2 linked regions of the Drosophila melanogaster genome follow. The protein of the gene in region 1 purifies or fractionates together with the protein of each later gene. This does not show direct contact. Each region holds a gene or a part of one and is shown on either strand. Other genes may lie near its edges.

Region 1 (5,354 bases):
TAATTCTCAGGGAGTTTCTCGCAATCGAGAGTCAATTAATAAATTAAAAGTGATGTGTATAAGATAGTCGTCGCTGCAAAGCCATAGATGAGTTGTAACTTCGCCAGATTTTCGCGACAGGCAGCTATCAACATGTACAAGCAGTCGTGCACCAATCTCCTGGAATTATCCTCCGCCAAGGTGACCGAGTGGCTAGCAGGCTTCGACAGTGTAATAACCGACTGCGATGGTAAGTCGGTGGTGGGGATGAGATACTACTAACTCGCACCCACCCAGGATTCCCCCCAGGAAGTTGCGTTACATAAAGATATGTGTATACCACATTCTGCCCAAATACGTCAGCAGCCAATAGTTTCTGTATTGTGGCTGCGTCGTTTATTTCAATGTCAAAGAGTGAAGTGCGTGATATGGCGGGAAGTCGACTTTCGGATGCCCTCATATCTTGTTAATCATCGTTATATTTAGTAAAGAGTAAAGCAGTAAAGAGCCGTTTGATAAATTCCCTAATGCTCATAGTGATGAGCCCTAAGTTTATTAATATTAGACAATCTTATCAATTCAAGGAAATCGTTATTATATACGCAATATCAAAAGTTGTGTTCAACCCCATTATTTATTAATTTTATGCAATAATGCCTTCTTTAATCATAACAGCTTTTATTTCTTTTCGTTTATGTATCTTTGCGAAGTTACCAATTTACTTAATTGGAATTAATTTCAAACTGTCCTCTTTGCCTTTGAATGATTAATTTATCAATTTTAGAAATAAATTACCAACAATATGAGTATACTTTTTGTAGATATTGAGAAATCAATAACGCCCTTTATAAAACTAGCAATGGCATTAATAAAACTAACAACTACAAAGTGAGAACCTATTTAGCACCGTTCTTTTTTTAATTTTAAGAAAATTCTTCTACAATATTAATCCATTTTTTCACATCAGGTGTCCTTTGGATCTATGGCCAGGCCCTGGAGGGCTCTGTGGATGTGATGAACCAGTTGAAGGGTATGGGAAAGTCGATCTACTTTTGCACTAACAACTCGACGAAGACCCGGTCGGAACTTCTCAAGAAAGGCGTCGAACTGGGCTTTCATATCAAGGAGAATGGCATTATATCAACGGCCCATGCCACAGCTGCGTACCTGAAACGACGGAACTTCAGCAAGCGGGTATTTGTGATCGGAAGCGAGGGAATCACCAAGGAACTGGACGCCGTGGGCATTCAGCACACTGAGGTGGGCCCGGAACCCATGAAGGGATCGCTGGCCGAGTTCATGGCACAGCATTTAAAACTGGACACGGACATCGGAGCCGTGGTCGTTGGCTTCGACGAACACTTCAGTTTTCCCAAGATGATGAAGGCCGCTTCCTACCTAAACGACCCGGAGTGTCTGTTCGTGGCTACCAATACGGATGAGCGTTTCCCCATGCCCAATATGATAGTACCAGGCAGCGGGAGCTTCGTGCGGGCCATTCAAACCTGTGCGGAGCGGGATCCTGTAGTGATCGGGAAGCCGAATCCTGCCATTTGTGAGTCTCTGGTCACGGAGAAGAAGATCGATCCATCGAGAACTCTGATGATCGGAGATCGAGCCAATACGGACATACTTCTTGGGTTCAATTGCGGCTTCCAGACCCTGCTTGTAGGTTCCGGAATCCATCAGCTGAAGGACGTGGAGCGTTGGAAGTTGAGCCAGGATCCCGAGGAGAAGAAGCTCATACCAGACGTGTACCTGCCCAAGTTGGGAGATCTGTTGCCGTCGATCGTGAACAGCCTGACGGACTTGAAATGAATCAGTAATCAGTAAATAGTACGGACATGTGTTTGTATAGATTTTACATTTAACTTCAATAGACAGGAAAGATTATTAATACTTAACGCAAATTTATAGTGCAATTTATACCACAGAACAAAGAATATTTAAATAAATTCAAAAGCATTTTGTGAGACGGATGATTTAACCGATATGCCCGACTCAATTTGTTTTTCCGAGCGAGCTTTGTGCGAAAGGGAGATAGCAGATTTTCCCCAATCACCGTGAATCGAAATCAGCCAGCCCGTCGCCGTCGATTTAGTTGAGTCGCAAGCATTTGGCGAAGCGGTCTACGAAGCAAAATGTCCAGAGGCGGTGCTATCGACTTGACCGGCCTATCCGAGGAGCAGGTGAGCGAGTGGCTCCAAAGTTTCGACACGGTTCTCTGCGACGGCGACGGTGAGTCTCAAGGGCGGCTAAGGTGCCACAGAGAGAGGGTTCATTGGGCTTGTGAGTGCTGCTATGGAGCTTTTACCAGAGTTGTCGCTTCACTGAAAAAACAGAGTATAAAATATCGATGGTAATTTACATGGGTAAGGGGAAAAGCTTGGCGATCGCGGTAGCTAAAAGTTTACATTTCATCGGCCTGCTACATCGATTGTTACTGTTATTCATTTTGTAAGTGGATAACTTTAAACGTAAAATCGTTAATAATTAGAAAAAGTTGATAAGGCTTAACGCTGCTGAAATCATTTTACATTTTTAGGAATATATTTATACCTGATCAATAGGAATATGTTTATACCTGAAAATCTCTCTGATCTCTCGCAGATCATTCCAATTTAATGTATAAATTTCCCATGTACTATTGGGCTTACCAAACAGAAATTTCGTTCGTAATTATTTTAAAATAAAGCCAAAACTCGTGTTAATTCCAATATTATTTAGTTACTTTATAAAATATATCTCTCATTTCAAACCTCTTCAAATGACACCAAATCAAATATCCATTAAACGCACAGGCACCATATGGCAGGATGACACGGCCATCGCTGGTGCTCCGGATGTGGTGAATGCCCTGCAGGATCGATTTGACAAAAAAGTTTACCTGATTACCAACAATGGCCTAAAGACGCGACAGGAGCTCTTTGAGCGCTCCCAGCGCCTTGGCTTCCATTTACCCAGCGACCGACACATCATTTCGCCCACGGCGGCCATCGCCGACTATCTGGTTGGGAGTCCGAAGTTCGACAGGACCCGGCACAAGGTCTATGTGGTGGGCAATGCGGCCATTGCGCGGGAATTAAGGCAGCGCGGAATCGACAGCTACGGAGCCGGCGGAACAGATGAACTGCCTCCGGGCGACAAATGGCCGGACTTTGTGACACGCGAGTTTGGGAACCCAGAGGCGGCGAAGGACGTGGGTGCCGTGGTGGTCGGCTGGGATGAGTACTTTAGCTACTGCAAGATGGCGCGCGCCTGTCACATCCTCTGCAGTAATCCCGACGCCGCCTTTTTGGTCACCAACCGGGATGCCGTGCACAAGTATCCATCCTTTTGTATCCCCGGCACTGGGGCCTTTGTGGCCGGAATCGAGGCATGTTCGGAGCGTGAAGCCCTCGAGATGGGCAAGCCAAATCCATTGGTCCTTGAGCCCTTTATCAAGGCCGAGGGACTACGTACCGAGCGAACGCTTATGATTGGTGACTGGTATGCGGGATTAACACATCCTTTCAATCTTTCCTAATGAGTTTCTCCCGTAGCCTCAAAATAGATGTCGGTTTCGCCAGCAATTGTGGCATGCTATCGCTTCTGGTGGGCACGGGTCGTTACAATAATCTCTCGGATGTCCGGCTGGAAAAAGACAGGCTGCCCCAGCCAGACTTTTATCTGCCCCGTCTGGGCGATCTGCTGAACATTTTGTGAGCCATAAATCCATGGGACTCTCGCGCAGCAATCTACTCGTTATCAACTTCTTAATTCGACTTTTATTTGGCCTTAGTTGATGTGTTTACACATAGTTGTACATATTGTATCTGCCGGCAAGTACAATAACATTCTCTGATGGATACTTTTTTTACATATATAGAGTGGTTGAGAAATTGCTGGGTCTGAAAGTTATCCATGAACAAAACTAGCTAATAAATTTTGGAAAGACGACAATGCATATTGCACAAATAAATCACTAACCATTTGCGAATATTCATTTTTATGTCCGTCCCCAAATAATTTTCAGGCCCAATAACTTTTCTTTGAATTAACAATATAGGCTGAGTGACTTATTAAAATACTAGCTTAACCTTCTATTACTTGCCGGGTCAGAAAAGCAGAGACGGCAATTTCTTACTCGTTCCTATATCTTGGTGATCCCATGTAAAAGTTGTAATTTGCAATGAACTAAACAAATTGCTTAAATAAGTGCAAGTTCCTTGTGCTGTGACTTGCAAATCAATTATCAATCAACGTTAACTATTTAAGACACACACATAATCGAAACTATACAACTTATTGGTTAGCTGTACAACAAATTTACAGGACACCCATCGATGTGAGCTGCTAATTGTCAAAACAAAGCAAGCAAGTATCACAGAAGTTATATTTTTGGCGGTTTGCTTCCGTGTAAAATTGAAACAATCAAACACCTGTTTTCGAAAGTTTTTTACGATATTTTGACTGTTGAAGCACGACATTTTCGTGAGTGTCCGTTTTAACAAGTCCTCTGATATGTTAGAGTTGAGTTCTGTTTTCTGTACTTTAGCAATTTAGCGCGAAAAGAAATCCCATAAAGCGGTGTCACATTTGGTAGCAAATCAGAATAAGAGCGTAACTGAATCTGAAAAGTTAAACCCATCCCCTGCTTTTCCCAATCCCCCAACTGATTTTCCCCCCACGCCTTGTCTTAAGCTGATTTTAAACGATGCATGTGCAAAGATTTTATAGAATCGCAGTGTTTAAATTCCGCGACTCTGCGTATGCATCGCTTTCCATCAGCTTTAGTTGTAAGTTTGCCGCCGGCGATCGCTTAATGATTTCTTCGAGGACCCTGTCTAAATTGCTAAAAGGTAACATCAGGTGCTCGCATCCGGCGTGTTGGCCAAAATCCTTGAGCTCCTCGACAAGTAGCCGTACCAGTAGAACACGTTGATAAGGATGAATAGCAGTGGGAAGACGATCCTCGAGGCGCGATCGATCTTCGACACGGAATTGTACTGTGGCGTTCGTTTGCCCTTCCTTCGGGCCTCCATCTCCTCGCGTCGATAGTAGGACATCCTGCGGCGACCTCCAGTTGGAGGACTAATCCGAGCAGCCTGTGCAGCAGCTTGTGCCGCCGCAGCTGCCGCAGACGTGGTCGGTGCTTCGTTGGCCCTTAGCTGCGTCTGCTCGTCATCCTCATCCTCGTCGGAGTCGGCACGTGGCGGCTTTCTTCTTCGCCGCCAGTCGAAGAGACCCAGAAGCTTCATACTCCACAGACCATGACGCCTGTTCCGGGGCCTCCGATTCCTGGAGGTTAGCATGCCCAGCCGAGTGGGAGGCGGCGGCATGCTAATAGCGCACATGGACAGCGGAATGACTTCGTAGATCTTGGACTCTGTGCT
Region 2 (3,626 bases), on another chromosome or scaffold:
AATAATGAGTCAAGACAGCCCAGTCGGGGTTTTTCACACGTTTCGCCTTCCCTGCCCGGCAGTCTTACGGTTTAGCATTTCTTTTGCGGATCTGCAGATTCTTCTCATCATCATCAGTGGAACTGATGACAAGTGTGGTCTGCGTCTGCAATTGTGGTCTCCCTTTGTCTGGGCTTCTGGTCTTTGTCGCAGTCACTCATTTCCATAGGCCTCCATGGAGCTCCCATCTGTGACGTCAGACCCCCGCGAATATATTTTTATCAATGTGTTCACTTCGCTCCCCCCGATATCTCTCATTACCCGAGGCTCTTTCTCGCTGGAGACTCTCCCCAGGCCTCCGGTTTCTCTGTTTGAATTTTATAGCTGGGGCATCGCATGCGCGGCCGTTGGAGCTCCTCAGTTGGAATTCAACTTGCGAACTGAGCGCAACGCGCGTTCCACTCGAAAACCTCGACGAGAAACAAAGACTATTCGCAAACGAAGAGAACAATTTGTTTACGTGCGCGTGTAGAAAAGCAGCGTTTGAAAAAAAAAATCAACTAATAATACAACAAACAAATCAGCGGGAAACGGTTATTATCAAATTGTAAATAAAAGTCCCAAAATGTTGATAGTGTTTATCAAGAAATAAAGTGATTTCCCTTCGGTGTTTTCGGTGTGGAATTCAATGGGCGTTTAAGGCATTTTGCATGCCCTGCCTTCGTAGGTTGTTGGAACACTTGGGTCTGATCATCATTTGTACGAATTTGTAGCCGTAGTCGTAGCCACGCCAGCTCATCCAGGTGATTCCACGACCCGACATCTTCGGCTCGAATCGACCTCCTTCCAAATATTGGCCATTGAGGTTGCTAGCGAAGATAATTGTTTGACTTTTTCATTTGAAGATATCATATCATATTCTTACCTCCTCTGGCACTGATCATACCACCAGGCCCCCACATAAATCCTGGCGCATCCGTGACCCGTATCATCGTGATCGAATGTGGAGAAGGGCATTCCCTTGTGGTACCTTAACGAATCACCGGCGTCTCCCGAGTATTTACCCAAAACAGATAGCGCATAGGACGCTGATGCATTCCCAATGGCAAAATCCTCGTATCGAGCATCATGTACCACTCCATTGAAATCTTCCATATAGACAAACAGCTCGTAAGGCTCCGCGGTTGTTAGGAAGTGTAGCTTTTCCAGACCCATAAAGAATTCTCCGCTAAGCTCCCCAAATCCTTGGCTATACTCCTCCCAACAGCGATAGAAGTTTTCACTGCCATCCTGTCGTCGCTGAATTACAGTCCATCCAGATCCCGCCAGCCGAGTGTCACAATAAACCGGAAAAGGTTCCAGACCCGGAACTTCAATAACATGGATGCCATTACTGTTGATTCCGGCAGCTAGACAGGAGGATGGGTTAATTGCTGCTAGACGATTACGAAAAGATGTAATTAGTTTAATTTTTGTAGAAGATCAGAAGCCAAAATAGCTCGAACTTACTCTCATGACTGCCTCTTTCTTCTGTGATTTCCTTGTAGCTCTGTTTTAGCTCTTCCAGCCTGATCTTTAAACTGAAAAATACATAGTTTAAACTTGAAAGCTCTACGATGTTTTGTGTCACAAACCTGGAAACCATGCTTTCAGCTTTCTTATAGACTAGATCCAATTTATTGCTTTGAGCAGTAGACAAGAGGCTGCCACCGCTTAAAATTAAAACACACAACAAATAGAGATTCATGATCTTGTTCCGTGCCTTGTTCCAACCCATCTAGATTAGATAGATTTGTATAGCTTGAAAATCAATTTCGATACTATATAGTTCGATTGACTTATCAATTGCATTGACAAATCGTAGGTCAAGTTCGCCTTGAGCGGTAGTAGATCAGGAAGTTGAGACAACTAAACATGAGAATTACAGTATATTTCGCAGTTCTAATTGAGATTCTGATTAATGTGCTCGGCGAGAATGCGATGATTCAATGGAACAACCTTTGCATATTAATCAAGTACATAACAAATTGTTTTCACGTTCTCGAAGCCATTGAAACCAACAGGGAGTGAACAGCTAATAATAATAACAATATTCGTGAAACCGCCTTGCCCAAATTCACCGCTGAGTCACTGGTATCATTCGGCACTTGGGTCTTATCATCATTTGGGTTACCCTGTATCCGTAGTTGTGGCCACGCCAAGATCGCCAGCACATTCCTCTGGCGAACAAGCTCTCCTCGTATTTCCCACCCGGCATATACTGACCATTAAGGTTGCTTGAATAATTACAAAGTTGTGAGATTATGTTTTGAGAAAGTTTATCCGACAGTAATCTCACCTGTCCAGACATGCGTTGTACCACCATCCTCCCAGATAGTAAAATGCACAGTTCTTATTAAACTCATGATCGTTATCCCGATCATATGTGGAGAACTTCATTTTGCGGTGTGAGCGGAGGGAATCTCCCGCAGTGCCCGAATATTTTCCCAGTGTATTCATGGCGTAGTCGTCATCTTCGTTTCCAATGGCAAATTCATCGAATTTCGCATGCTTAATTGTATCATCGAAATCCTCCAGGTGTACATACAACTCATGCGGCTCCAGGGCAGTCAAGGCACGAATCTTTTCGAGGCCGAGGAAGTACTCGTCCATTAGATTGCCGAATCCGTTCTTGTACTCCTTCCAATTGCGAAAGAAGCTCAGATTTCCACTGAACCTCTTTTGAATTACAATCCAACCGGGTCCAGCCAACTGATTTTCGCAATACACTTGAAAGGGACTCAAGCCTGGAACTTTCAGGGTGTGCAAGCCATTTTCAAGATCCCCAGAAGTCAGACAGGAAGTTGGATAAATCACATCAGGGGATGTGTTTAGAGTGCCATTGGTTTCAAGTTGCAAAAGTGATTCTTGTAAACTGGGGAGTAAAACAGTAAGCTTAGGCCTACTTTCTTTGTTTGAAACTTACGTTGAGAGTGCATTTTCTGCCTGTTCATAAATAGCCTCCAAGTTTCCAAACAAATTCAGCGTCTGTCGAGGGTTTTGTTTATTTCGATTAAGTATTGGTATACTTTTTGAGCGCCTATTTAACTTACCTCCGCATGACAAAAAATCATCACACTAAGTGCAATGCAAACGGAAAAAACTGGGACGCCGGGAAACATGATTTTGTCAGCTAATCGATGAGAATATAATGAGATTGGATCGTTTCTAAACATTTTATTGCACACAAAGGGAAATAATTGTTGGCTTTGTTTTTGTGCCGTTTCTTATCAGTTGCCATTCAAATAACTTGATTATGATTTCTTGATAATTATTTGGAGCCACTTCCATTCACGGAACTCTTACTGTGAATTTAATGCTATTTTGAAGGGTGGTTCGAAATAAAGCTAAAGAAATTTAAATTGAAAACAGCCATAAATGTGATTAAAACAAAGGCAACACATTCACAACATTTATGATTTGCTCGAATCACGTGGGATAGCCTGGTTTTCAAGTGGGTTGCCCCAGTGAAGCTAAAACTGTGCCGCTTTACGCGCTGTTTGAGCTTGAAATTTTCCATTGTGGCTTCAACCATAGGGGCATAATAAATATTACTAGTTTTATTGGGATAAGGGTAAATGTTGAAAATATATATTAAATATTAAATT

Evidence for each region.
Region 2: the proteins of CG5577 (region 1) and CG30281 purify together in Drosophila melanogaster (affinity purification with mass spectrometry, with the first as the bait; one large-scale study listed by BioGRID). This does not show direct contact.

What each region holds. Positions count from the first base shown.
Region 1 is NT_037436.4:17,838,150-17,843,503, reverse strand, and holds CG5577 (uncharacterized protein), read left to right. Parts: upstream 1-2,076; 5' UTR 2,077-2,120; coding exon 2,121-2,217; intron 2,218-2,780; coding exon 2,781-3,468; intron 3,469-3,521; coding exon 3,522-3,684; 3' UTR 3,685-4,826; downstream 4,827-5,354. Other genes in the region: CG5567 (uncharacterized protein), read left to right, coding at 88-229, 947-1,797; Grd (glycine receptor), read right to left, coding at 4,827-5,354.
Region 2 is NT_033778.4:22,113,111-22,116,736, reverse strand, and holds CG30281 (uncharacterized protein), read right to left. Parts: upstream 1,741-3,626; 5' UTR 1,727-1,740; coding exon 1,614-1,726; intron 1,560-1,613; coding exon 1,489-1,559; intron 1,413-1,488; coding exon 905-1,412; intron 849-904; coding exon 665-848; 3' UTR 548-664; downstream 1-547. Other genes in the region: CG30280 (uncharacterized protein), read right to left, coding at 2,096-2,255, 2,318-2,893, 2,945-3,006, 3,072-3,140.